Kluyveromyces lactis: one gene and its partners. The protein of the gene in region 6 purifies or fractionates together with the protein of the main gene of each other region. This does not show direct contact. Links are inferred from orthologs where the notes say so. Each region holds a gene or a part of one and is shown on either strand. Other genes may lie near its edges. The genes, in order: TAF3, TAF5, TAF12, TAF8, TAF6, TAF7 and TAF13.

Region 1 (2,822 bases), on a different chromosome or scaffold from region 6:
AAGTGTTCAGCTTTGATGCAGAAGGTAAGTTGGTTATGAAAAACGATAGGAGAAGAGGAGAAAATAACAATGAAGATCCGTTAGAGGCTATTACCAGTGGTGTTAATGCATACTTAGATGCTGTCAAACAAGGTCCAGTAAAGGGTCAAAAGAACAGACTAAAATTCAAAAAAGGATCCAGAGCTGGCAATGAGGATGATTTCAGTGATGATGAACAGGAAACCAAGCTACCAAAAACAAAACCAGCTGAAAAGGGAAGAATTGGTAAAAAATCCAATGGTAGATTTAAAAACAAGAGGAGATTATAAATCACTTTTACCTGATATGCACTGCAACGCCCTAGCCCATTTATCAATTTGATAGTTGTATATAGATGTATAGTAGAATAGACAAAATCGGAACCAAAAGATTGTTACATGTGATTGATTTGAAAACAATCGAGTGAGAGTGCGATTGTTTTGTCGTAAACATGAACTAATTTTGTGTTAAACAAATTATATTTATATATCGTATGCGTGTCCAAAATCCAAAGATGCCCTTCTTTCAAATGTATTTTGCATGTCCTCCATTTCGTCTAACTCTGTGGTAACTACATTGCCTAAAGTTAAGCCTCCCGTTCCAGAGGTCTCAAAATCATAATCCGTTTTATCAATATCGGTGTAGTCTTGCTGATCTTCCTCCGTATGGAGGGGTTCAAGTAAATCGTCAATATTCTCATCTTCATATGAAACAACTATGTTTTCTAACTTGTTATTTGGGTTACCGATAGGTAACTTTGAGATGAGTCTTTTCAGAACTATTTGCTCTGCTGCGTCTTCAGTACTTTCCTCTTTTCCTTCTTCATCTTCGTTAATTTCGATTCCAACTGGAATGCATGAATTGGTAATGATAGGTCGACTTCGGCTTAGTTTAGAGTATTTTAATCCAGGAATTGACGGTAACGAAATGAGATCTTGAGGAAGTTTCCCCGACTTCCTCTTCGCAAGTTCTAATTTTTGTGATGTCAACATGAATTGTATCCAGTCATCCATATCCCCGTTGTTTATCATTGCTTCCACCAATTCTGTCTCATCATCTCCATCGTTAGGCTTTTTGTCCGATGTATTCAGCTGGTTGATATACTCCGGAATCATTGACAATGGTTTACTAGTTTTATCACCAACTTTCAACAGGTCTGGACTTGGGGTACTGATAACTCGTGCTTCTGTTGTTGCGGGATCTTGAAGTAACCATCTTTTAAACTGTTGCATACCTTCATCGCCTGCCACGGACGGGTTTTCATCGTAAACATCCAGTAGGTTCATTGGTTTAAATACGCCGATATTGAGCATTCCTTGGGTAATATCTTGAAGGGACACTTCTTCATCTAAATCACGGCGATCCAGAGTAAGTTTCCGTATTTCTTGAATCATCAGTTCTAGATATCTCACATATAAATCAGTAAAAAGATTAACTGTCCCCATTTTGGCTCTATCGAAGCCATGTGCCCTTAAAAGGTGTATCATTGAAATTCGCAGCAGCGAAAAGTAAAAACTTTCATCAGTGGTCATAATTGTGAGGAGCTGAGTAAAGCAATAACACTTTGCTTGCTCAATGCTTAGAGCGTAGAATATACAAAATACTGCAAAGTCTTTGCAATTGGCCGGTATTTAACTTATGATAAATAAATCAAAGTAAATACTGCTTAGTAAATCAATCAGTGTCCTCGAAGCTCAGTACTGGTTGCATTCTGCATCGAACGAACCCCACAATAGACAGTTTTCGTTAATGTATAGTATTTGCATGGCTAACCTACTTATCAGACAGTAAAAGTTACAAGTTCCTTCTGTGTTTTCCATTACCCGGAAACAAATCACGTGATAAGAGATTCGATCAAACACTTGCTGTTTGGCGTTACTGGAGCATAAATCCGTATTCAATGATATCAACAGGCTTTCATTGCCATGGAGCTTTTTACATGGACAGCTTTACAAGACATCCAAAGAAGGCTACTGATTCTAATTACAGGAATGGGCAATGGTTGAGAGCTGAATTCTGCCTCTCTCGAGCGCAGTTCCTATTTGTCCTATATCTTGTCAACTGCAAATTTGGAATTTTCGCGTACCGCCAAACCAGCACTTCCCTCCTGAGACAGTAAACCATTGCATCAGTACTGAATAACACGAATAGCATACCCTGGAAGTAACCAAGAAGAAAAACATAAACAACATGGTTAACTTATCTCTATACACAGTTAAAGCTGTGTTGATTTTGGATGGAGAAGGAAGAAGACTTTACTCGAAATACTTCCATCCACCACACGAAGAAATTTCTGCAGATTCTCTTGCATCCAGCTTAAAGAAGCAAAAAGAGTTCGAATCTAACCTATTTGCTAAAACTCATGGGCAGAATTCAGACATTATGATATCAGACGATCTATTAGTTATTTACAGAGAATATGTCGATGTTTCGATATATCTGATCGGTGCAATCGACGAAAACGAAATTGTTTTGCAAGAAGCATTCAACGGGTTCAAAGATTCCCTAGAATTGATATTGGATACAGGTATTGACAAGAGGAGTGTTCAGGAACATTATGACATGGTGGTTCTAGCAATTGATGAATTGATTGATGATGGTATTATCTTAGAAACTGATCCAGCCACAATTGCCTCTAGAGTGACGAAACCGCCTTCAAAGGATATCCCATTGAATATAGAATTGAATGAAAAGGGTTTGCTAAGCGCGTGGGGCTTTGCCAAGAGTAAATTGGCTGAAAGATTACAGCAGGGCTTGTAAGCTTCTCCTCATTTTCCAGATTTCTTTTATAATCAGACACATAT
Region 2 (3,955 bases), on a different chromosome or scaffold from region 6:
ATACCTTTGGGAATATCATCTTTGTTACTATTATTTGGAATCCCTCATTACTATATCCACTGGGAAAGCTACTATTATAAAGGACATCCGATTTTACAGCAGTGGGACGCTGAAAAACCAATATTAGATTAGTTATTAGGATTCTGTTAACATTTACATTTCATTGACTGCATTGATATCAATGCACATAAAATATACGTACTCATTGTAAATAATATAAAGATAAAGCGCATTCTCTTTTTTTTTATTTATTACAATTGGACAACTACTAGATATGTCGAATAAACGACCCTTATCTGGCTGAGTAAAGTAATCGCATTTACTCAATAAATGCACCACCAGCCAAAACTAGGTTCGTTCTTGTGAATTTTACTTTGTGAATTGCTGTTTTCTTTGTATGGAACGAAGCCATCAAATCCTGAGTTGGTATTACTGCCCGCCTACGTCCGAATTCTTTGATATCGTTATTTACACTGAGTTCCATATCTCCTGAATACGTGTTGAATTGTTGTTCCGGCTCCATTCCAGGCTCGTTTGTAAACCTCTTTATATCCCAAACTCTAACACTTTGATCCGCACCACCTGTTACTAGACAGTTACCTTCTTTGTTAAAAGTTATGGAATAGATAGGATTCTTACCGTGACCCTTCATCTGTTTGATTCTTTTACCAGTACCAATATCCCATACGATAATTGTGCCATCCTCACTGCCCGTAGTTAACCACCTACCGTCAGGCGATACTTCAAGTGCGGTGACTGGTGATGTATGTCCCAAAAACAGTCTAACAGAATCACCTGTTTGAATATCCCACATACGGCACGTTTTGTCGCTGGAACCAGTGAAAACATAGCAACCATTTGGATGGAAAGTGCTACAATCCACGTCATTTAGATGACCTGAGAAAATTCTCAACGGATAGATATGATCACAAGACCATAGTCTAGCCGTTTGATCATGTGAAGCGGTGATGAAATAATGGCCAAGTGGAGAAAACTTGACGTACCATACTGGATGGTTATGGCCTTTGTAACACACTAGGCAAGTGAACGTATCTAAAGACCAAAGTCTGACAGTTTTATCTTCAGATGCGCTAAGTAAGTACCTGTTATCCGGGCTGAATGCAACGGAATAAACTGGTCCGCTGTGTCCTACCAAAGTAGCAGAGTTCGATTGGTCTTTAGCTTTGGATGGGAGGATCGACTGTAGCGGTGATCCATCAAGGTACCATACCTTAATTGTACTGTCTTGGAAACCAGCTGCAGTTAGTCTAGCATCATCACTAAATTCTACGCAAGTCATATTACCATTAGTGTTGTGGAAAGTGTACATACACACACTTGGTGCAGAAGTTTGTAGGTTTTTCAATTGGATGGAATCTCTACTCTCCCTTACTTTTTGAATTTCCATCTTTAGATCTAAAGTTGTTTTTACCGGTAGCGGCAACGAATCCTTTGCTGGTGATTCCATCATAGATCCAATTGAAGCCTCTGGTTTTTCTTCCTCGTCTTTATTCTTTGAGTCTCTTTTCTTTCTTTCAGCAGCCGATGATTCGACACTAAGTGTAGGAGTGCCTTTCTCTTCTGTATCTGCTGTTGCATCGACTTCTTCTCCACCCTCTTCAGCTTCAGGTTCCTTATTTTCATTTTCTTCCTTAACGGTGTTATCATCAGCTTTTTCAGTGCCCTCTGGTTTGTTCTGATTACCGTTCATTTCTCTATATTCCTCAACTAATGTCTTACCGACAGGTTTATCCTTATTCTCAGCTGCCTCTTGTTCATCTTTTTTCTGCAACTCAATCTCTACTTCCTTGGTGAACTCTTCGTCCTTTGGATACGGTCCTAACTTCACAGGTACCGAGTTATACGTATCAACATCAATATCACCGGTTGAGATATCTTTGATCCCGTCGGTGAGAATATCCTCAGATTTGACAACATCTACGATATTTGGATCCAAGTTTTGGTTTATGATGGAAATCAACAAAGATCCTCCCACACTTTCGTTTTCGTTCAAGAAATACAACAAAAGGTTCAAAGTAGTTCTTGAGATTGTGATCTTATATTTATTGGTTTGGAAACCTTGAGCCAACTCATTTTCCTTGATGTGATCTACTGAGTTGACACTGAATAATCGGTTAATTTCTGATCCATGAAGGGCTTTGTAATCGACAGAATACTTGTCAAAGAATCTTCTCGCTTGTAAGGGGTCCTTGATGACCAACTGTAAAAAAACGTAAATGAAAATCGGGTATATGATACGTGATAGCTCAGGTTTGTACAATTCTAAAGACGAATCGATCCAATTTTTCAACATTGAGTAAGCTCTAAAATAGTGCAAGGGTGTCACCTGTTGCGGTTTTATCAATTGGCCGTTGTTATCTCTTTTCAAGGGCATCGAAGGATTTGAAACAGGTTTTGCAGTGGTAGTACTTCCTGTAATCGCAGTGGCTGATGCAGACGAGGCAGGGATTGTGTTAGAAGCAGCAGCGTTTTTATTTGGAGGCGTCAAAGTACGTGACGATTCAGCACGAAGCATCTGTTCCGTTCTGTGATACCCCTTCTTATTCAAATATTCCAAAACGATGCGGTTCAAATCTGACGCTGAAAACCCCGGTTTAGAAGCTGCCGGTGCATTCCCACTGGCACCGCTACCGCCAGCATTGGCATTAGCGCTAGCATTTCCGGCCGCACTACTATTTCCATTGCCACTACTTCCGCCTGCACCGGGAGCCGTGGCTCCTGACGCTCCCCCAGCTGCATCGCCTGCCTTGTTTCCCTGTTGTTTGCCGTTCGAAGACATATTAAGCAAGCCGGAAACTGTGCTAAGAGGTTCTTCTCTTTCACGCTTTTTTTTTTTAAAAGGCTAAGCAAGTATACCTAGTTCCTTATTCAGCTTACTCCTAAGCTCAAGTACTGGTATAGTTCAAGCTTGCTAAGGCAATGATTTAGCAATCATTTGCTGTTTATTTGTTTACTTATTCATTCACATTTTTCAGTTTTATTTTTTTCCATATTCAACTTTCAACCTGGAAACTACTCTCAGACACAAAGTAACTGGCATTTAGAGATCTGAATTAAAGGTCACGTTTTACGGATTCAAGAATTATCTTTTCAGTACATCTCCGGGTAACAGGTTGAACAGCCCCGGAGTCCACAGCACGTTTTTAGACTTCGATTCGAACTTTATTTTAATTTTTACTCGCAGAACGCAGTTAAGCTACATATCTAGAGAACCCAGTATAAAATATATGTGTACAGAGAAACAGTGGGGAGAGGCTTTAAAGGGTCGGGAATTTTGCAGTGGCCTTGGGTGGGTAAATGAAGATCCCTATTTCACGATGCCAAAGCCATACCCCCCACAAATGACTTCCTTTTCGTTTTTCCATCCAGGGGTAGGAGTCCAGTAATTGGATCTGGATTCGTGTTTTTCAACTTCCAAAGAAGGGATGCTTATTTTGCGGGATGCCAGTTACCAATGTACATACTACGGGGGTACCTTCATTTGACGTGGCAATTGGAGGTAATGCGTGCCGCGTCTGTAATATAACAGAAATTATAAGTCACGTTGCCCTTATTTTACTATTTCGTTACCCGGTTCATGTAAAAATAATCCCATTGGGGTTCCACTAATGTCAGGAGACGAAGTTGAACAGCAATGAAACGGTGAAGTTGGGAAAAAAAACAAGAATTCAAGCACGAAAGTTGGAAAATTAAAGGAATTCGCCTTCTTCTCAGTTCTGATACTTGTCTTTCCATCGTCAAACGTTGCTCCATCTCATCGCAAGGCCCATCAGATACACTAGCAAACCGTTCTAAAACGCCAGCTGCTTCTTCTATAGAAAAGCCATACGCCGTTGAGTCACTGCGTGAGTGAATCAGTAGGTCTGTGAGTAGGATAATCTTTCCTATTGTACGTCGATTTAGATTTGCCAAAAAAGCGTTTGTTTCTAGTGCA
Region 3 (3,512 bases), on a different chromosome or scaffold from region 6:
TGGAAGATAGATCGACTGATTTGAAGTAGAAATTAACCCAAAAAGACCACTTTGTTCAAAACGTTGATACGATTTAACCATTGTGTATCAATTTAAACTCCACACTGCGGATAATAGTAGCAATAACTGATATCTTACACAGGGTTATAGTATATAAGTTTTGTTATACTTGTTCTTGAACAGCATTATGCGATGAGATGAGATGACCTTCCATAGTTTTTAACGTTTTGGAAAATTTTGAAAAATACAACTTGAAGCCATGAAAAAGAAAAGGGTGGTTTATACATATATGAGACAGGCAGAATAGGACAAAGAGTATTAAGAATCAGTTTCCCTGGACTTGATTATGCATTGTTGTAGGTACTCATCCACTTCTCCATTTTCAATATTTTGAGGAATTGTTACATTAATAGATATATGATATATGATGTATAATATATGCATCAAATTAAGTCTGTTTGAATGAATGAACTTGTTTAAACAGTGGTAATTTATCCATTTCACTTCTTTTCGGGATGTGTACGTGCAGTTTTATTGTTATTGATTGCATTTACCATTTGATTGTACGAAGGGGTTGGATTCCATTTCTTGGTGCTACGGATTTCATCGTTGGCAAACCCTGGGATTCTGATATTCCAATTACGTTCCAGATGCATTTGGATGTCTCTTACGTCGAGTGAATCGGATTTTCTATGTTTTGCCAATTTACAGGCGAAATTCGTAACATTAGTAATGAAATCGTCTGCTAGATCGAGTAATAGCTCTTCCACATCACCATCAATGGTGGTTTCACCATCACCTTCGTCTATACCCACCGTTTTGACGAGTTCACGGAGCTTTCTTTTAGACATCACACGCTCAGTATCGACCTCATATGGCGGTAGTTTGGTCATAACAGGTGTAGTTAGCGCTGGCGCGTTCATACCACTACCGCCTGTTATCGTAGGTCTGTTGCTTCTGTATGACACTGAAACTGTTGGGGATGCGGTGACATTTTCACTTATTGGTATCGATGGGTTTGGTTGCTTGAAGATTGGTGGTCTTGTATTGCTTTGTGCTGTTTGATTTGCAGCTGCATTCACCGTTGTCACCTGCATTGGGGACGATTTGTCAGAAGCTGTGTTATTTGGTGCGGCAGCTGCTGAGCTCGGGTTTGCGTTTGTTGCAGTTGCAGTAGTTGCAGCGGTCTTTTGAATTGGTATATTTTGTCTTTGCGCCATAGCATTTGGAGGACTACCACTCGAAGCTTTATTCAAACTTGTTGGAATTGGTGTACCGGTGTTGGTTCCTGGAGTAGAAACACCAGCCTGAGGTCCCGGTGTACCTGCATTTGCAGCTACTGTACCCTGTGACTTAGCAGCATTAGCTTTTTGTTGCTGTGCTTGTAGATATCTTCTTAAGTCAGCATTAGTTTGAGAACACTCAATGTAAAACTTTCTTCTGTCCTCTTGATATTTCTGTTGTAATGTCGAATACTGGGCACTCAATGCCCTGATTTTCATTAATAATTCATTCCTGTTAACCTCTAATTGCTGCACCGATAGACTGTTACCTCGTCTATTCCTGATCTCTTGGTCCAAAACACTAATATTTCTCTTCAAAAAGTTGAATTCTCCCTTGATATTCTGACCGTCATCCTCATACTTTTGAACCAATCTATTGTAAGCTTCACGCTGTTGAGGAGTTAATAAGACCTTTATGTTATTCGTCACATTATTGGAACTGGCGGTAGCTTGTTGTTGCTGCTGCTGTTGCTGCTGCTGTTGCTGCTGATCCATGGATTTAACATTCGTGGCATTATTATTTACAGCTCCCTGTGCTCCAGCCTGCGCTTGGGCCTGCTGCTGCCTCTGTTTACTGTAAGCCTCGTACAAAGCCTTAATACGGGCCGCTTGTCTCAATAGCTCTTTCCCTTCCTTGGTATCTACACCAATTCGCTTAGCTTCGTTAACTAACGATTTTAGTCTATCCGCCAATTGCTGCATAGAAGCTGGCGTGAGGTTCTGCAGCTGTACATTACCTGCTTGGCCTGACATTGTCCGTATCTTGGTTCGTAATCCGAAATGCACACCGCAAGCCCACTTTAAGTGTCGAAATACCCTCGTGCTGGCCTTCTTTGCCCCCGTTTTGCCCTTGCTTTAACCTCGCGGCAACTACTTTCGATTGTTATTCACTTGTTGATCTTTGAAATATTTTTGAATTTTGATGCTGAAAGGAATAGGAAGACAAGTGTTACCCTGACAACATACACAATGCGTATATATGAATATATGTATCTATGAATATGTTCATAAGCGATATAGGTGTTTGCGCTGCATCACAGCTTGTCATTTTCTTCCAAGAATTCGTAATATTCGTCTATAAGTAGCGGCCAAGCAGCCATTTCATCATAGTTTTGTTTTAAACTTTCGTCATTGGGGTATTGTTCAATGAACTTATAGAACATCAACCATATATCGTTTGAGATGTTCTGTTTCCTTGGATCCGAGTCGTCAGAATTGATGAATTCAAGCCATGAATTAAGTCTCTCCTTGGAGATTTTCAACGCATATTTATTGTCTTTAAAGAAAATATTCCAGTATTCTATTGCGACATCTTTAGGTAAATGACGAGATCCCTCGTCTGTATTCAATGGGAAAGTGTAGGAATAGATTGATTTGAAATAATCTTTGTCCGTCTCCAGTCTCTCTTCTAGCGTATGTAAATAGGCTTTCATCTTTCTTAAAGTGTCGCAACATAAATCTGACCAGGCATTTAGGAATTGTTCTCGAGATACTGGTTTTGTTAAATCGTCGATGCATAGCATTTGAGAAAGACATAGCGTGATTGGGTCCTCTATCGATATACCGAGGTCTTCAATAAACCGTATTAGCCCAGAAGAGTCCCATTCTGTTGCCGAAACGCCATTCGAGTACTTCTCAAAGATAGCCACTAAACTGGGATTGTAAGATTGACGCATACCTCCAATGGTATCCACATTATCATAATAATCGTTCAAAGCGTACTCGACACGCCCTCCATTCTTTCGAAGGTATTCCTGTGCAACAGAGTACGTGCATCCTGTGAGGTTCATGAACTCTTTCTCCTATTTTTCCAAATGATTATTTGATTAGCATTTGTTAGTAAAGGTGTCATTCACCTGACCAGAGGGTAGAGGCATAGTAAAAAACATACCATTATAAAAACACAATACGATGAAATTTCTGAAGGGTTGTTATCCACGAGTAAATGATCGCTTGCTCTGGCGTTTTGTCGCGAGTAGATTGCTTTCTTCTTTACCCTAAAACTCGAAACGAATATGAAGTAAAACATGTAATTTCACTTAAAATGAACTTGTCTGTATATTTAAAATATGTCAACAAACGTAATGGTCATAGTGAAAAGTGATGAGAAGCAGGACTAAAGGGACCCAGCACCGTTGACCGAATGACTAAGACTGATGACGAACTTAAATTACTTCATGAGAAAATTCTACTTAACCTAGCTTCGAATTTAGAAGAAGAGGTAGATAT
Region 4 (3,553 bases), on a different chromosome or scaffold from region 6:
ACCCGCTGCTTCTTAGTCTTCTCCTCATACTTCACCAGAACGTCCTGGAAATCCCAATACTCGTAAGCAAATAATCGTTGGCCTTTTTCAACGTGATCACCCGGTTTTACGTACAACTGCGCAACAGTGATGGGATATGGTAGGTCACTGGTCACCTTCACATTAGTTTCGAGTGACATCTTACCGCGCTTGGAATCCCGCTTGACAGCCCGTTCCCTTTCTTGCAACTCCGAAATTCATTGTTATGTCTTCACGTTGGCTTTTATTTAACAGAAATGTTTGTTATTTAAATTCAAATTCGATCGATAATGGATAAACAGATATGAAGAGAGAAGTAAACAGAACATACACAGCATGAAGTATTCTTGCATCGCGTGTATGAGTGGTGTTACATTGATTAGCATTAGGAGAATACAAACGTTACTGACTATACGAATTATGATGTACATAGTTTTGATTCATTAGCTAATATGACTACTTATAATGAAAGTCAAAATATATCAGAATAAATCATTCACGTTAGAATCGTGATCTTGTGATTGATTTTCTAGCAACTCGTCTGTGGCAACTCCCGGTGATGTATGAAGGGCTAATTCTGATTTAGCTTCTTCTGATCCTGCTTCTGGTGCATCTTCCGATATATCTTTCGGCGTCAGACCTGATGCGGATCCCGATGCGACTTCTGAAAGTAAAGGAGTCGAATTAGCGGGGGTAATTGACGGAAGTACATCTTCAAAAGTCTCTGTGCTTTCCATCGGTTTTTCTTCATCTGGTCCGTGCAACAGCTCAGAAGCCAACTCCCCCAGAGTTGAAATGTTAGTATCTGTTATTGCTTGTACCTCTGGCGGTCCCTGCGTCAGAAATTTTTCGTCGTCGTTTTCGTCATCATCTTCGCTGTCTTTGTCCCAGCCATGCAATAGGGGATCAGTTTGTAGGTTATTAAGATCAAGAATCTCTTGTTCGGCCATTTTCTTCTCCTTTTCTATTCTCCTTTGTTCTTGTAAAAGTCTCTCTCTTTCTTCTGCCTCTTTTCTCGCTCTTTCTCGTACTTCTTTGACTCTCGGTATGGAATCTATCAGCCCCAAGTAACTACGCCTTAGCATTGTTTTCAATTGATTTTCAACTGACTTCCTCGATTTGGTACTCCCTTGACCGTAGGGTGAACAGATCATGGCACCTCGTATGAATGGGTTACGTCTCTTATTCGATACTTGGTTTTCTGCCCTTTCAGCCCTTCGTTTTACTATTGCATCTCTCTTCTTACAGTATTCTAACACATTGAAATTCTTCACTGGCGAAAGATTGAATGACTCGATGCCATGAAGGACCGTTGTTGTACCCCATTCTTTATCTGTAGGTATGGTTTTATGAGGGTCAAAGATTAAATCGGTTTCTAACTGACTTTCTTTAATATGTTCAGAAAGGGCAGCATTGTTGGCAGACTGGTCGCTATCTTTATTTAGCGCTACCAGTGGGTCCTGATTGACAACTTGACTAAGCATATTCAACAATGCCTTTTCCGAAAGCCTTCCTTCTTCTAGTAACTTCTTCTTCATCAGCCTCTCATCTGTAATGGGTCTCTTGTACAACGAGGTAAATTTGTACGTATGATCAGGCGGTAGTTCTGGCAACCAACTGGGCACATATTTGTTAGATTTGTTGCTCGAAGGTAACAAATTTAATATATCAACATCTTGCACGAAGAACTCTGAATGTTTAGAACTCAAAAGCTCTTTTTCTTCCAATTCTTTCATGAACTGCTGTTTAACCTTTAGCACAGTTTCGTTCAAGGCATTAGCCTCGTCCTTGAATTTCCCATGTACAAAATTCGATATTTCCACTTGCCCATTCAAATCTTTCAGATCCATACCAATACCTTTAAAGTAGAGGTTCAAATCAAGCTTGGAGATCTTTGTCCTTCGCTGTACTTGAGTTATCTTCTTCAGACTTTGCAATAAATCATCTAACTGTAATAATGAAACATAACAAAGATCGTCAAACGCCAATTGAGATATAACCACATTCTTATTAAGTGTCTTCAATTGCAATAGTACGGCCTGTGCAAACAAGCGTTCCATCGGATTGGCATGAGGTACCTCATTTAGATTAGGTAACTTATCTAGTCGCACACGTCTCTGGTCAGTCTCTATCTTGGCATCGTTTTTATCTTTATCCTCAGAAGTCGTCATATTCAGTCTCAAAGAGCCAACTAGTACTTTAATATTGTATGAGTGCTTTACTATTCGGTCAGTTTCATACCCATAGGATGAAACTGATTGATTGCTTTAACCCTTAAGAGCTAAGCGTTTGGAGACGTCTCTCGCAATAACTTCAATGCTTCAACTCATTCATTCAGAGTTTTCGAATGGCATAACGTTCGGGTAATACCGTTATTATTTTCACGTGATTTGCGTGAACTGATGTTAATAACATCAAGAGTAGATAAAGTTACACGAGGTGGACGAAAACAACCCGGCGAACATGTTTAAAATAGTTGTGCTGAAGCAGTTGTATCAATTTATGTATTGGATGTATATGGAGTTAAAACAGAAGATAAAAAAAGATATTAATACTAATAACGATATCATAAGAATAGAACCTGTTCTTGGCAAAGACAATCAAAAGAGATGGATCACTGGTTTTGGAATTGAAATGGAAGATCTGGTGGAAATATATCCTCAGGTGGACATATATCGCTGACGTTTGTGGTATCCATCAAACTCTCTCGGGTTTTGTTACAGAGAGAAGGAAGGAGAGAGAAAGAAACAAGAGCGTTAATGCTGAAAAATGTGTAGACTGGGAGAGGAAGAGTTCCTATCGTCGTTAAAATGAGTTTAAAAATAATAATAGTGTGAATAACAATGATAGAAGGGTTGTGTGGGCACGTATAGTGAATTATTTAATTCAATCATACTTCATGTTGGATAATGGAGCGTTTTCACCAAGATAAGTACCGAACACTTTATCCCAGAACCAAGAGGTGACACCAAAACCTAACTCGTAATTCTTGTAATGATGCTCCAAATGGTATTTCTTCAATTTACGCATGTAAGGTGGTAATTGTGAATGGTGCAAGAAGTAATGTGTCAAATCGTAGCACACATAACCTAGCATACCACCAGCGAATCCAGCACAAGCCCAGTAGTATGGTAGTAGTGCAAACACTAGTTTGTAGAATGGTGTACAAAGCACAACGAACAAAGTAGGAGGCATAACCAATCTGAATCTGTCCATTGGTAAATAATGATGAACACCATGCAACAAGAAATGCAAGGTAAACGCCCATTGCTTCTCTGGAAGACGGTCATCCAGATGGAACAAAAATCTGTGCAATCCGTACTCGATTAAAGTCCACACGAATACACCGACGGCAAATAAGAAGATAGCAAAGGCCTGGTTCATGTTCATCAATGCAGTATAAATATGATATGTGACGACTGGTAACCAGACGACCGGAACCATCCACCAAGGCGTCTTGGAAAGGGGCTCTAAAAAGTTTCCAAATAGTGGAGCTGACCCCTTACCGTAGTGCCTAGGTCTGTGTACTTGATCT
Region 5 (3,333 bases), on a different chromosome or scaffold from region 6:
CCTTGTAGAGTTTTTGGAGGAGGAAACAACAAAGAAGAAACCCAAAATGGCGTCAAGGTCGTCGTCGGATTTGAAACTGAATCGCCTTCAAAAAAGACAAATGTCTGTGCAAGATCTTTCTTTAGACGATATTGTCAAGCAAAGACAACAAATATTGGAGGAGTTCAGCACTGTTAGAACTGTTTTGGTAAACGGAAAAGCTATCAATATCTCTCAATCTCATAATAACTCTTTCCAACGAGTTGGTAAACGTAAACTTGCTAGCTATATCTCAGAAACCGGATTTGATGATAAACAGCAGGATATACATGTTACAGCAACTCCGATCAAACCTATAGAGGAAAAGAAGGACACCCCAGTGTTGGTGGCTTCCCCTTCAGTTGTTTCAGAAACACCAGTTAGGGCATCGCCAGTAAAGGTTAAAACCAGGCACGTCCGTAGGAGATTATTTGCGCCGTAGTTAATACGTATATTCGTTACAATATTTACATATTTGATGTCTAAAGCTCACCAAAAAATATAGCATCGTATAGAGTCTTTGCATCGTCTCTTTCCAGTATTACGTTGCCGACAGTAATTCCGCATCTTTCTCTCAAACGAGTTTTGTCCTCCTCACTAAAATCACCAGAAGGGTTGTATGAAGATGGAAGATCAGATTTCAAGTTCTCTAAAGTGGACACTATCACTGTTGACAATAATTTTATCTCCAAGTCAGTTAGGTTCTTTCCGCTCTTGCTGTCTTCCGATTGGCTTCTGTCATATTCCTCGAAAACTAGTTTCGACCAGTTTTGTAAATTGCCTAAAAAGAATCTTATTGTTTCGTTACCGAGGACAGAAACACCACGTACACAACCATAGTAAGTACCGAATGATCTATTGATATCCAAGAATGTCTTAAGTAAAGTTCTAGTAACACGAGGTTTCAACGATTTGTGAACCTTTGGGAACTTTTTCAAGACGTGATCGAGTAAAGAGCTAGCAAAATCACGGACAGCATTAGTCTTCTCTAAAAACTCTTTTTTATTTTGCTGGTCAACAATCTTGTCGTCAGATGAGTTTTTCGAGCCATTACCACCAAGTCTCTTCGCTAATAGTAGTGTTAAGATAGAAGGCATTAGAGAATGAATGTAAGGATCCAAAAATACTGATTGATTACTCAATAACGAATATATCATTTCCAACATTGTAGTTAACAACTCCAAATCCTCTAAATGGTGAGTAATCTGCTCTGCGATAAACTGTATGAAATATGGAACAAGCTGATGTAGTCCTGTGTCAGACTTCAACGAAGTTAAAGCTGCTGCTCTCATCCGTTGTGAATTGATATCTTCTTCCTTCGATGTAAGTGCACTAGCAACTTTTTCGAAATATATCTGTAATTCTTTAGACAAAACGTGTTTGACCAATGGCTTAGCTTCACTTGCTGCACCTGGTTTCACTTGTGTCGAGATAGGTCCATTTGCGGTGGCCTGTCTTTCTTCATTGACATTTGTTTGTAAAGAGGTTTGAACAGAAGTTTCGTTTAATGGTGAGACTATTGCTCCTCTTTGCAACGGAACTTGACTCAGCCTTAGTTCATTGATATTTGGATTTTGTGGAATGGCAGGTTGAATTCCTTCTACCGCTAGCCAATGCGCCGTGAACGTTGGTAATCTTGGAACTTCTGGTAATGGAGTATTGATCAATTTTTCAAAATCGATCTCCTCATCATCTAGGTAATAAAGCGTCTGCCCATTAGCGCCCTCCAACTTATTGAACTTAACGGGCTCATTTTTCGCTGATCCTTCCTCGAATCCATACAATGGCTCGACGTTAAGGACACGTAAAGCTTTCGCAACATCGCTTGTAGTCAAAGTAGATCGCTTACTGTGTCTCTTAAATTTCACCGCTTGTTCCACGATTTCCAAAATACGGTACTCGACATCCATCGCCAATGACCTCAACACGTCATCATTTGTATTTGAGATTCCGAGTGAATCTGCCACATCCTTCACCGTATCATGCGGGGACCAAATTGTATAAGATTGTTGCTGAGAGGACTGCTGTGACATTATTGAAATTGAACACAAATGAATAAAGAAAAGAATACCGTTTACTCGAATAAAATTTATCGCTGTTTCAGTGTATACACCTGAAACTAGAGTTTTCGAGTGGATGTTCGTGCAATAGAGGAGCGCTGGTGTTGTATTCAAATCGTTGGCTTTGTATTCCTTACTTTGAAGGATGGAGTTGTTATTCTTTCAGGATTCGATCGTTTATGTTTTTCGTCAATATTGGAAAATACCAAAAATGAAATAACGTTATCATAAGTTTACCGGATAGAGTTCCAATTGAATATGTAAGGTAAGGCAACAAAGGTAACCATTACTGGTTTGGGCTTACGTACAAATTACAAAGAAACATACTATTTGTGTTTTGAATATGTCTTCGGAACTGACACCATTGCAGCGAAGTGTGCTCGATAAATATCGCTTCCTAGCGGAGTCCTTAAGGGAATTGAGCGAAACACTTTCAGATCTAAACAACACCCATGAGGACTCAAAACCGGAAGCAATTTTACAAGAGATGCGAGAAATTGAAGTGAAAATATCTCTTGTAAGTACGCTTCTCAAAGGTAGCGTATATTCACTCGTGATACAGCGACGGATGGATCACCAACAAAAACCTTCAGATCTATGAGCGGAATCGGACTGATTATTGTAATCATAATCAGAGTTGTAACATTACATTTTAATATATATGAACATAGATATACATATTTCATTTCTAAGGCCACTCTTTTTTATTGTATTCTCACTCTGAACGTAAGAGTTATAGGGGTGATCTGATCAACTATTTGATGAAGAGATGAATCGTTTACCGTCCATATCTACAACTTGTATATAACAAGTTTACCATCCAAACCAACAGAAGAAACTTGAGTGACGTTGTTGTTAGATTCCTTGTAAGCAGCCAATTCTGTAATTGAGTTCACATGGGTAGATTTCTCTTCTTGCTGGCTAACTTTACCCTTCAAATCCAATTCCTTGAACTTTCTCAATGCGGACATACCGAAGGCACCTTCTTCTTCATCATCCCCAGTTGATGCTACCAATTTGCCAGCACTCTTAACTGGGCTATCCAAAATCTTGGACACTTCCCAACCCCTTGAACCTTCGCTGTACAAAACAGGATGATTTGAGAAACCAGCTGCTAAAATTTCATGATCATTGATCCAACATAAGGTGATGAATGGAAGACCTTCTGGGTTGTCTACACTCTTAATATCGTCAGTGTAATCAGTGATATTCAAGGAACCATCGTGGGTGACAAATGCGACCTTATCGATGGAAG
Region 6 (4,028 bases):
CACCTTTTTGAGATGTACATGGCAGGGCCTTTTTCTTTCAGCCGCTCTGTAGGCAGTAAAAAGAAACGGCGAAGTGAGGTGCCTCTTAACACCTGCTGCCTCTTTCCCTTTGTGTGCCGTCGTCAAGAGGCTTCGGCAAACGAGAAGAGGTTCGCATTCGTAATTTTCCTCTTGTTGTTGCCCCGTGTTTCCCATTGATCTCCATCCATTACTTCCTTGCCTGTCTTGATTCTTGTTTCTACTTCCCTTTAAAGAATTTAAAAAAAAAAAAAATGCTTCTAGATAAATTCAGTTATACATTCAGATTACACAACTCATTCACGCATTCGTTCAGGCATTCAGTCATATCGTTCACCCTTGTAGAGCATGGGAAGCTGTAATGCTATTCCAAACTCAGATAACATGCTAAATCATCACGTATCTCTTATTGTCTCTTCGGGTATTGATTTTTTTTCTGTTTTTGTTTTTCTTTTAGTGGTTTCTTTTCTCTCAGTTCAAACCTAATCGTTATCCGCTCCGAAAAGAAGCATCATATCCATGTCATCTTGATCAAGTTCTTCAGTACCTTGTCTTGCTTCTTGTCCTTGTTGCGGTTCTTCGTCCGGCCGTTGCTCTTCCTGTTCCTCTTCCTCTTCTTCTTCCTCTTCTTCTCCCTCCTCTTCCTCCTCCTCCTCTTCTTCCTCTTCTTCTAGTTCATCCTCCTCCTCATAAAGATTCCCTTCGGTACCAATGTTTTCCACTCCATTGGTAATCGTAGCATTGTTTGGAATTGATGCCGATCCGGTTACGCCACTACCACCGCTACTAACGCTGCCATTTCTGATTGCGGCCTTGTTCGATACTGCACCGGCTTCAGTATCGGGTACGTTTTCTGAGATGTCTTGAGCTGTCTGTACATTTCCTGCATCGTCTACAACAACTGGTTCTCCTAACTGTTTTCGTTTCAATTCAACTTCTTTCTCAAGCTTCTTGATACTTTCTAAGAATCTTGTCTTTAACAACGGATTCGTAGTCCTACTGGCTTTATTCCGGTTTAATTCTAACGTACTTTCTAGTTCCCTCAATTCATCAAGTAATAATTCTCTGTGTTGCTCTTCTTCGTTAGCACCATCGTTGTCTGAGACACGTGACTTAGTTGTTCCTGTTGTAACTGATCCGGATAATCCATCAGCACCGTTCTCTTCATCCTCCTCTTCTTCATCCTCTTCTTCCTCCTCTTCTTCCTCTTCGTCCTCCTCCTCTTCGTCTTCATCATCACCGTTATCTTGTTCAACGTCATCACCGGTCTCCTCAAGAAGTTGTCCTGGTCTTACAACACTGCCAGTATCTGTAGACATCGCTGCTCCAGCCGGTCCATTAACCATGCTTGCCGGTATAGAACCATCAGTAGTTTCTGTTTGTAGAGCTTGTTCCAATTCCAATTCAAGATCTTCTTCATGATCCTCTTCCTCATCTTCTTCCGCGGCACCTGTAACATGATGTGGTTTGATCTCTTGGCTGTAGCCAACAGAAGATGTTTCATCCATATGCTCACCAGCCTTTTGATAATGTGCAAGATCTGCTGCACTTGTAGACCTTTGCTGTTGAATTGCATCCTCATTAACTAGCTCGTACCCGAACTCTTCAGCTTCAGCATCTAATTTCAATAATTTTTCAACAGTACGTTCCACATAATCAAAGGCAGTTGGTCCCATCCTATGTCTGAAGCGACGGTTGCGAGCATTATACAAAGGAGGGGTGATACCATGCTTATAATCGTAACGCTTGTTTATGATTTGTTCGATGTTTTTACTTTCAGCATCAGTCAATGGGCCGCCATTGTACCCTCTGAGTTGCTGTTTCCGTTGCTCGGTAATTTCCTTCTGATACTCTTCAAAATGTTTCTTAGTAAGATCTTCCGTATCGCTTACTTGCAAAGAAAACACTTCTTCTTCCTTATTCACTGTACGAACACATATTAACATCTGACTAACGTCAAACGTCTTCAATAAGTTCTTTCTGTCAACACTCTTGTTAACTTCGATTATACTTGGCAAGTTGACTAATACAGCACCATATTGCACCCCATTCACTTTCACAACCGCGTGTCTCTCACCCTTCCATTTGATACTGACATCAGAGTAATCACCACTCTCTATAGAGTTTTTAACGAATTCTGCACTCAAATCTGGTAATACTCTTAGAATTATACCTTCCTCGATTAGCGGATCATCCTCTACATCACTGGCCTCAGAATCGTACCCTTCACCGGGAACTCGTACAGGTTTGATTCTGAACTTAGGAGTCTTGACAACACTCGTACTTTTGCGCTGCTGCTGCTGCTGATGCGATTGGGAGTGCGGCACTAATTGTGGATGTGAATCTTCCCGTTTTTTTAGATTGATTTTTAACTTCATGGGCCGCGAGCTTCCCTTCGAAGTGCCCACATTATTATTATTGCTGATATCTTTATCCTCTTGATTATCACGCTTTTTCAGTTTGATTTTAAGCTTTGGTGCAGGCTTGGAATTATTGCTGCTGGAACTGCTTCCTCCAGTCTTTAACTTGATCTTTTTTAGTTTAGGTTCCGTTCCACCGCCTGATTCAGGCTCCTTGGGTTTGTTAATTCTGATTATCGGACCCATTGTGGGATACTGTACTAAAACTGAATGTTTACTGTCTTTTGAGAGACCCCTTGTCGTATGTGTCACACCAATTGGGTCAACCATTCATTTTACTTTCACTGTACATCTAGATAGCTAAACATTTTCCGTCGAACATTATTTCCAATTTCACGATTTCCTCCATTATGTAATTTGAAGCGAGTTTTGATCACGTGGAAACGTCCAGACTAACGCTGAATTTGGCTTAATGCATTGCAAGTCATGTTAAAGTACTACTGTATACTATCAGGGAGTAACTACTTAAAATAGTTTGAAACTTCTGATGATCATAGCTTATAGTTCGCAACTATCCTAGGTGTCTTTATAACACCAGCGTCATCATCACTATAAAATTCCGAATTGAAAAATGGAAAAGCTCATATTTCAACTCATCGCTTCATTTTGTCCAGATGAAAGTTGTAAACAAGTCACAGCAGATCTGCACTCATTGGATGGAACTGGCACCTTCTATATGAGTTCTGTGCTCCAATATACAATATCCGTTCTCTATTGTCAAATACACTACAGAATTTTTCCTAATCATGACCAAGAGTTCGTTTCTGAAGTCGGTTCTACCACTAGCAAATAAGATTCATACCAGTTATGGAAGTCAATTTGAGAAAAACCCCAAGGTAATAAACCAAATATTAGACAAGTTGAATTTAGAATCATACTACAAGTCTGAAAGCTTACAAATACTGGATATATACGCCGGGCCTTTGATTCAATCAGTCATACTTAATGAAAGACTGAAACCAAAGAAGCATGTCCTGTTAGAGGATCGATTGAAATTTGTGGAGTTGTATCAAGCAACTTTGAAGGATCACCCATCGATGGTTAATTACAATAAAAATCCATATAAATGGGAGACATTTTTAGAAATGACAAATGAAGACAGAGTCCTTACTCCTAGCATGCAGAAAAGAGATCATATTCACAATGAATTCTTGATCGCTGCCAATTTGACCAATAAAAAGGGTGAACAGCTATACGTGCAATATTTGCAGTGTATAGCGAACCAGAATTGGATGCAAAGATTTGGTCTGGTCAAGATGTTAGTTTGGATACCTCAGCAAACTGCAAGGAAATTATTCGCACCATTTTCAAACAAAGACAGAAACAGGCTTACTCTTCTATCCGAATTAGCTACTAATACAAAGCTCGTTGCGACTTCTGAAAACTCAGTAAAAAAGTTCCTTCCAGATTGCATAGAGAAGTTTGATCCCGTGATAATTCCCTCAGATAATAAAAGTCCAGACGATCTTTCACTTGTTGAAATCAACCCTAGGGATCACAGCATAGATTTGGACCATTGGGATTTCGTAACGCAAAAGTTAATGATCCTTAAATCCAAACCAGTAGAAGAGATGATTGAAATTTTGGGGC
Region 7 (2,432 bases), on a different chromosome or scaffold from region 6:
AGCGTTGCGGTTTATCGTAACAAGTTATACGGACCTACCTTCCACTGTTAGTAAGTACACTGTACTAAAGCTCAATAAACTCTGGAACAAGTTTATTGGTGTTCCAAACTATCTCGAAGAAGGAGAGGAGCTTGAATATCCATCCTACAACTACGAAGAATAGATTAAAAACCTCTCAAATTGTCATTTTATATGACAATTTGTTTATAGATATTAAGAACTACAGGAGAACCAGCTGAAAATTCCAATTATGAAGATAAAGGTGATTATGTTCAAATAATACCCTCTCATAAGCTATTCATTTGGTTAATATATAGCTAATAGAAAAAATAAACGTATATGTTGCCGCTAAGTATGCATAAATATGGCATTTTGTTCAGAAAGGCGTAATACTATAATGATAGAATTTATATGAGGATTGCTTTGTTTTTTCACTTCTTTTGCCCAGCAAGAGAAGGATTTCAAGTACAGATATGCTAGGGGTAATGCGAATGTAACTCTCAGCTTGTTTCCCGTTTCTTCTTCTTAGGAGGTTCATTTCCCTTTTTCCTTGGTCTGCCTACCGGACGTGAGGTAGGAACGGGTTCAGGAACCGTTGTCGTCTCCTCATCTTCATCAGCCGAAATGTGGTCATCATCACCGTCATCTTTCACTCGTTTCAAAGATTTCCCCTCTGAATTATCAAATTGTTTCCTGGCATCGGTAATAACTTTATTCATCTTAATCAACTCTTCAGCTCTACCTAATTTCACCTCGTCCTTTCGAAGTACAAATCTGAAATCTTCCACTTTAATCTTATTCCTCTTCACGGTTTGAGCCGAGTAGTACGCATTGGCACATATATCGCTCAAATAAGACACCACCAATTCGTCTACACATTGAATGGTCTCTGGTAAAGGTTGCGCGACATCACCAAACGCATACATCAAAGAGCCAACATCTTTACTGAAAAGACTTGTTTTACGAATTCTTCTGGACATTCCTGTGTTGATCTAGAACTCCAACCGACTAGTCAGCTCTACTCCATGGAATGGACGAATGCGCTATAAGCTAAACTGTATAGCTTGATCATTGTTTCGTGATTTTGATTCTGGTTCTGAGTTTTATGTCAAACTGTCAACTTAAACACAGCGAAGAATAGTGCGAGTTTGCTTTTTTTTTTTTCGCAGCAAAAAATCGCTTGCGTTTTTTTGTCCCCAAATATCATGCGCAGTCCATCCAACAGTTAAGCTATATAGGGAGCTTTTTAGCGAGAAAGAAATTGACAAATCGCCTAACCCTTCCGCTTGTGTGAAAATTTTGAGAAAAGACGAACAGAGGAAAGGACATGACAGATCCACATCGCATCTTCTGAGGATCAGATAAACAGAGCAATGATAATAAACCGATTAGTACCGCTCAAGATAAGGTTTTAGTAGATATTATTGTTCCAACAGTGGCATCATTTAGACGCTCATCTGCGTGTGGTTGATATTGAAGGTTTGGTAAATATTGGAGGCTATTTTTCCTTCACAGCGACTGTGAGTCAAAGAGGATACAAGCAGGAATGAAGCCTGCGAAGCCCAGAGTGAAGACGTTCACGGGATGCTGGACATGTAGATCAAGGAAAGTAAAGTGTGATCTTCGGCGGCCCGGATGTGAGCGATGTGAGAAAGGTGGGTTAATATGTGGAGGATACGATGTAAAACTTCGGTGGACCCGGCCAATTCAGTTTGACACTATGGGTAATGTGACCGCAACACCTACAGGAATCAAAGATCCAGATGAGCCTCAGTATCAGAGAAGAAACGTTGATTTCGTTCGGTACAAAGAGGAATATGTGTATTATGAGGATATGGACGATGAATTATCAGCGTTAAGCTCTCCTCCTTTAGAGCTCATCTCTGAAGACAAGACTTGGATTATAAAGAAATTTGGTGTGTTCAAAGGCACAGATAAGGTCAAAAAAAGGTACGTGCCACGGAAGAAACGTAAGAAGAATCAAGTTTTCATTAATGCCATCGAAAAAGCTCAGAAGAAACTAGCTAATAAGAAAAATAAGGTTAAAACTGCTGATTCAGATTCGAAAGAGGGCACAAATTTATGCACTCCAGAAGATATGGAATCATCATCTGCTAATGATGATCATACATCTGCGCAGCAGCTTCATTCCCTATTCGAATTCGATATGAATTCTTTGTTGTTTCCTGGGAACGAGTGGATCTCAAATGAACTACGGGACGATGCATTACTATCGGCGTCCGCAGTGCAAGGGGAAACAATACCATTTATGGGTATTCGTCAGAATAATACACCGGATACGCCACAAACTCCTCTCACAGTAGATAATATGGGGAAAAAGAATGGTAGTGTTAATGGTAATTGTAATGACGGTCGCACATCTGGAAACGATAATGAAGACGAATTGGCTAGAGTCTATCGGCTCCTCTTCC

Evidence for each region.
Region 1: the proteins of TAF7 (region 6) and TAF3 purify together in Saccharomyces cerevisiae (affinity purification with mass spectrometry; 5 studies listed by BioGRID, with this or other methods). This does not show direct contact. The link is inferred for Kluyveromyces lactis from reciprocal best matches to the Saccharomyces cerevisiae genes TAF7 and TAF3.
Region 2: the proteins of TAF7 (region 6) and TAF5 purify together in Saccharomyces cerevisiae (affinity purification with mass spectrometry; 6 studies listed by BioGRID, with this or other methods). This does not show direct contact. The link is inferred for Kluyveromyces lactis from reciprocal best matches to the Saccharomyces cerevisiae genes TAF7 and TAF5.
Region 3: the proteins of TAF7 (region 6) and TAF12 purify together in Saccharomyces cerevisiae (affinity purification with mass spectrometry; 5 studies listed by BioGRID). This does not show direct contact. The link is inferred for Kluyveromyces lactis from reciprocal best matches to the Saccharomyces cerevisiae genes TAF7 and TAF12.
Region 4: the proteins of TAF7 (region 6) and TAF8 purify together in Saccharomyces cerevisiae (affinity purification with mass spectrometry; 4 studies listed by BioGRID). This does not show direct contact. The link is inferred for Kluyveromyces lactis from reciprocal best matches to the Saccharomyces cerevisiae genes TAF7 and TAF8.
Region 5: the proteins of TAF7 (region 6) and TAF6 purify together in Saccharomyces cerevisiae (affinity purification with mass spectrometry; 6 studies listed by BioGRID). This does not show direct contact. The link is inferred for Kluyveromyces lactis from reciprocal best matches to the Saccharomyces cerevisiae genes TAF7 and TAF6.
Region 7: the proteins of TAF7 (region 6) and TAF13 purify together in Saccharomyces cerevisiae (affinity purification with mass spectrometry; 6 studies listed by BioGRID). This does not show direct contact. The link is inferred for Kluyveromyces lactis from reciprocal best matches to the Saccharomyces cerevisiae genes TAF7 and TAF13.

What each region holds. Positions count from the first base shown.
Region 1 is NC_006042.1:2,524,125-2,526,946, forward strand, and holds TAF3 (Taf3p), read right to left. Parts: upstream 1,551-2,822; coding exon 501-1,550; downstream 1-500. Other genes in the region: mRNA-binding protein RRP12, read left to right, coding at 1-308; RET3 (coatomer subunit zeta), read left to right, coding at 2,209-2,778. UniProt on the Saccharomyces cerevisiae protein: Functions as a component of the DNA-binding general transcription factor complex TFIID. Binding of TFIID to a promoter (with or without TATA element) is the initial step in pre-initiation complex (PIC) formation.
Region 2 is NC_006041.1:2,087,361-2,091,315, reverse strand, and holds TAF5 (chromatin modification protein), read right to left. Parts: upstream 2,801-3,955; coding exon 320-2,800; downstream 1-319. Other genes in the region: GPI2 (phosphatidylinositol N-acetylglucosaminyltransferase), read left to right, coding at 1-132. UniProt on the Saccharomyces cerevisiae protein: Functions as a component of both the DNA-binding general transcription initiation factor complex TFIID and the transcription coactivator SAGA complex.
Region 3 is NC_006040.1:1,375,453-1,378,964, reverse strand, and holds TAF12 (Taf12p), read right to left. Parts: upstream 2,037-3,512; coding exon 501-2,036; downstream 1-500. Other genes in the region: snoRNA-binding rRNA-processing protein DIP2, read right to left, coding at 1-81; NEDD8 ligase DCN1, read right to left, coding at 2,318-3,085, 3,175-3,312; APC2 (anaphase promoting complex subunit 2), read left to right, coding at 3,427-3,512. UniProt on the Saccharomyces cerevisiae protein: Functions as a component of both the DNA-binding general transcription initiation factor complex TFIID and the transcription coactivator SAGA complex.
Region 4 is NC_006040.1:143,440-146,992, forward strand, and holds TAF8 (Taf8p), read right to left. Parts: upstream 2,190-3,553; coding exon 501-2,189; downstream 1-500. Other genes in the region: FCP1 (protein serine/threonine phosphatase), read right to left, coding at 1-179; SCS7 (fatty acid alpha-hydroxylase), read right to left, coding at 2,905-3,553. UniProt on the Saccharomyces cerevisiae protein: Functions as a component of the DNA-binding general transcription factor complex TFIID. Binding of TFIID to a promoter (with or without TATA element) is the initial step in pre-initiation complex (PIC) formation.
Region 5 is NC_006042.1:979,141-982,473, reverse strand, and holds TAF6 (TATA-binding protein-associated factor TAF6), read right to left. Parts: upstream 2,052-3,333; coding exon 501-2,051; downstream 1-500. Other genes in the region: SLD3 (Sld3p), read left to right, coding at 1-460; DAD3 (Dad3p), read left to right, coding at 2,422-2,679; ARC40 (Arc40p), read right to left, coding at 2,870-3,333.
Region 6 is NC_006038.1:736,647-740,674, reverse strand, and holds TAF7 (TATA-binding protein-associated factor TAF7), read right to left. Parts: upstream 2,709-4,028; coding exon 501-2,708; downstream 1-500. Other genes in the region: MTF1 (RNA polymerase specificity factor), read left to right, coding at 3,185-4,028.
Region 7 is NC_006040.1:863,411-865,842, reverse strand, and holds TAF13 (Taf13p), read right to left. Parts: upstream 981-2,432; coding exon 501-980; downstream 1-500. Other genes in the region: ERO1 (ER oxidoreductin), read left to right, coding at 1-163; ARG81 (Arg81p), read left to right, coding at 1,547-2,432. UniProt on the Saccharomyces cerevisiae protein: Functions as a component of the DNA-binding general transcription factor complex TFIID. Binding of TFIID to a promoter (with or without TATA element) is the initial step in pre-initiation complex (PIC) formation.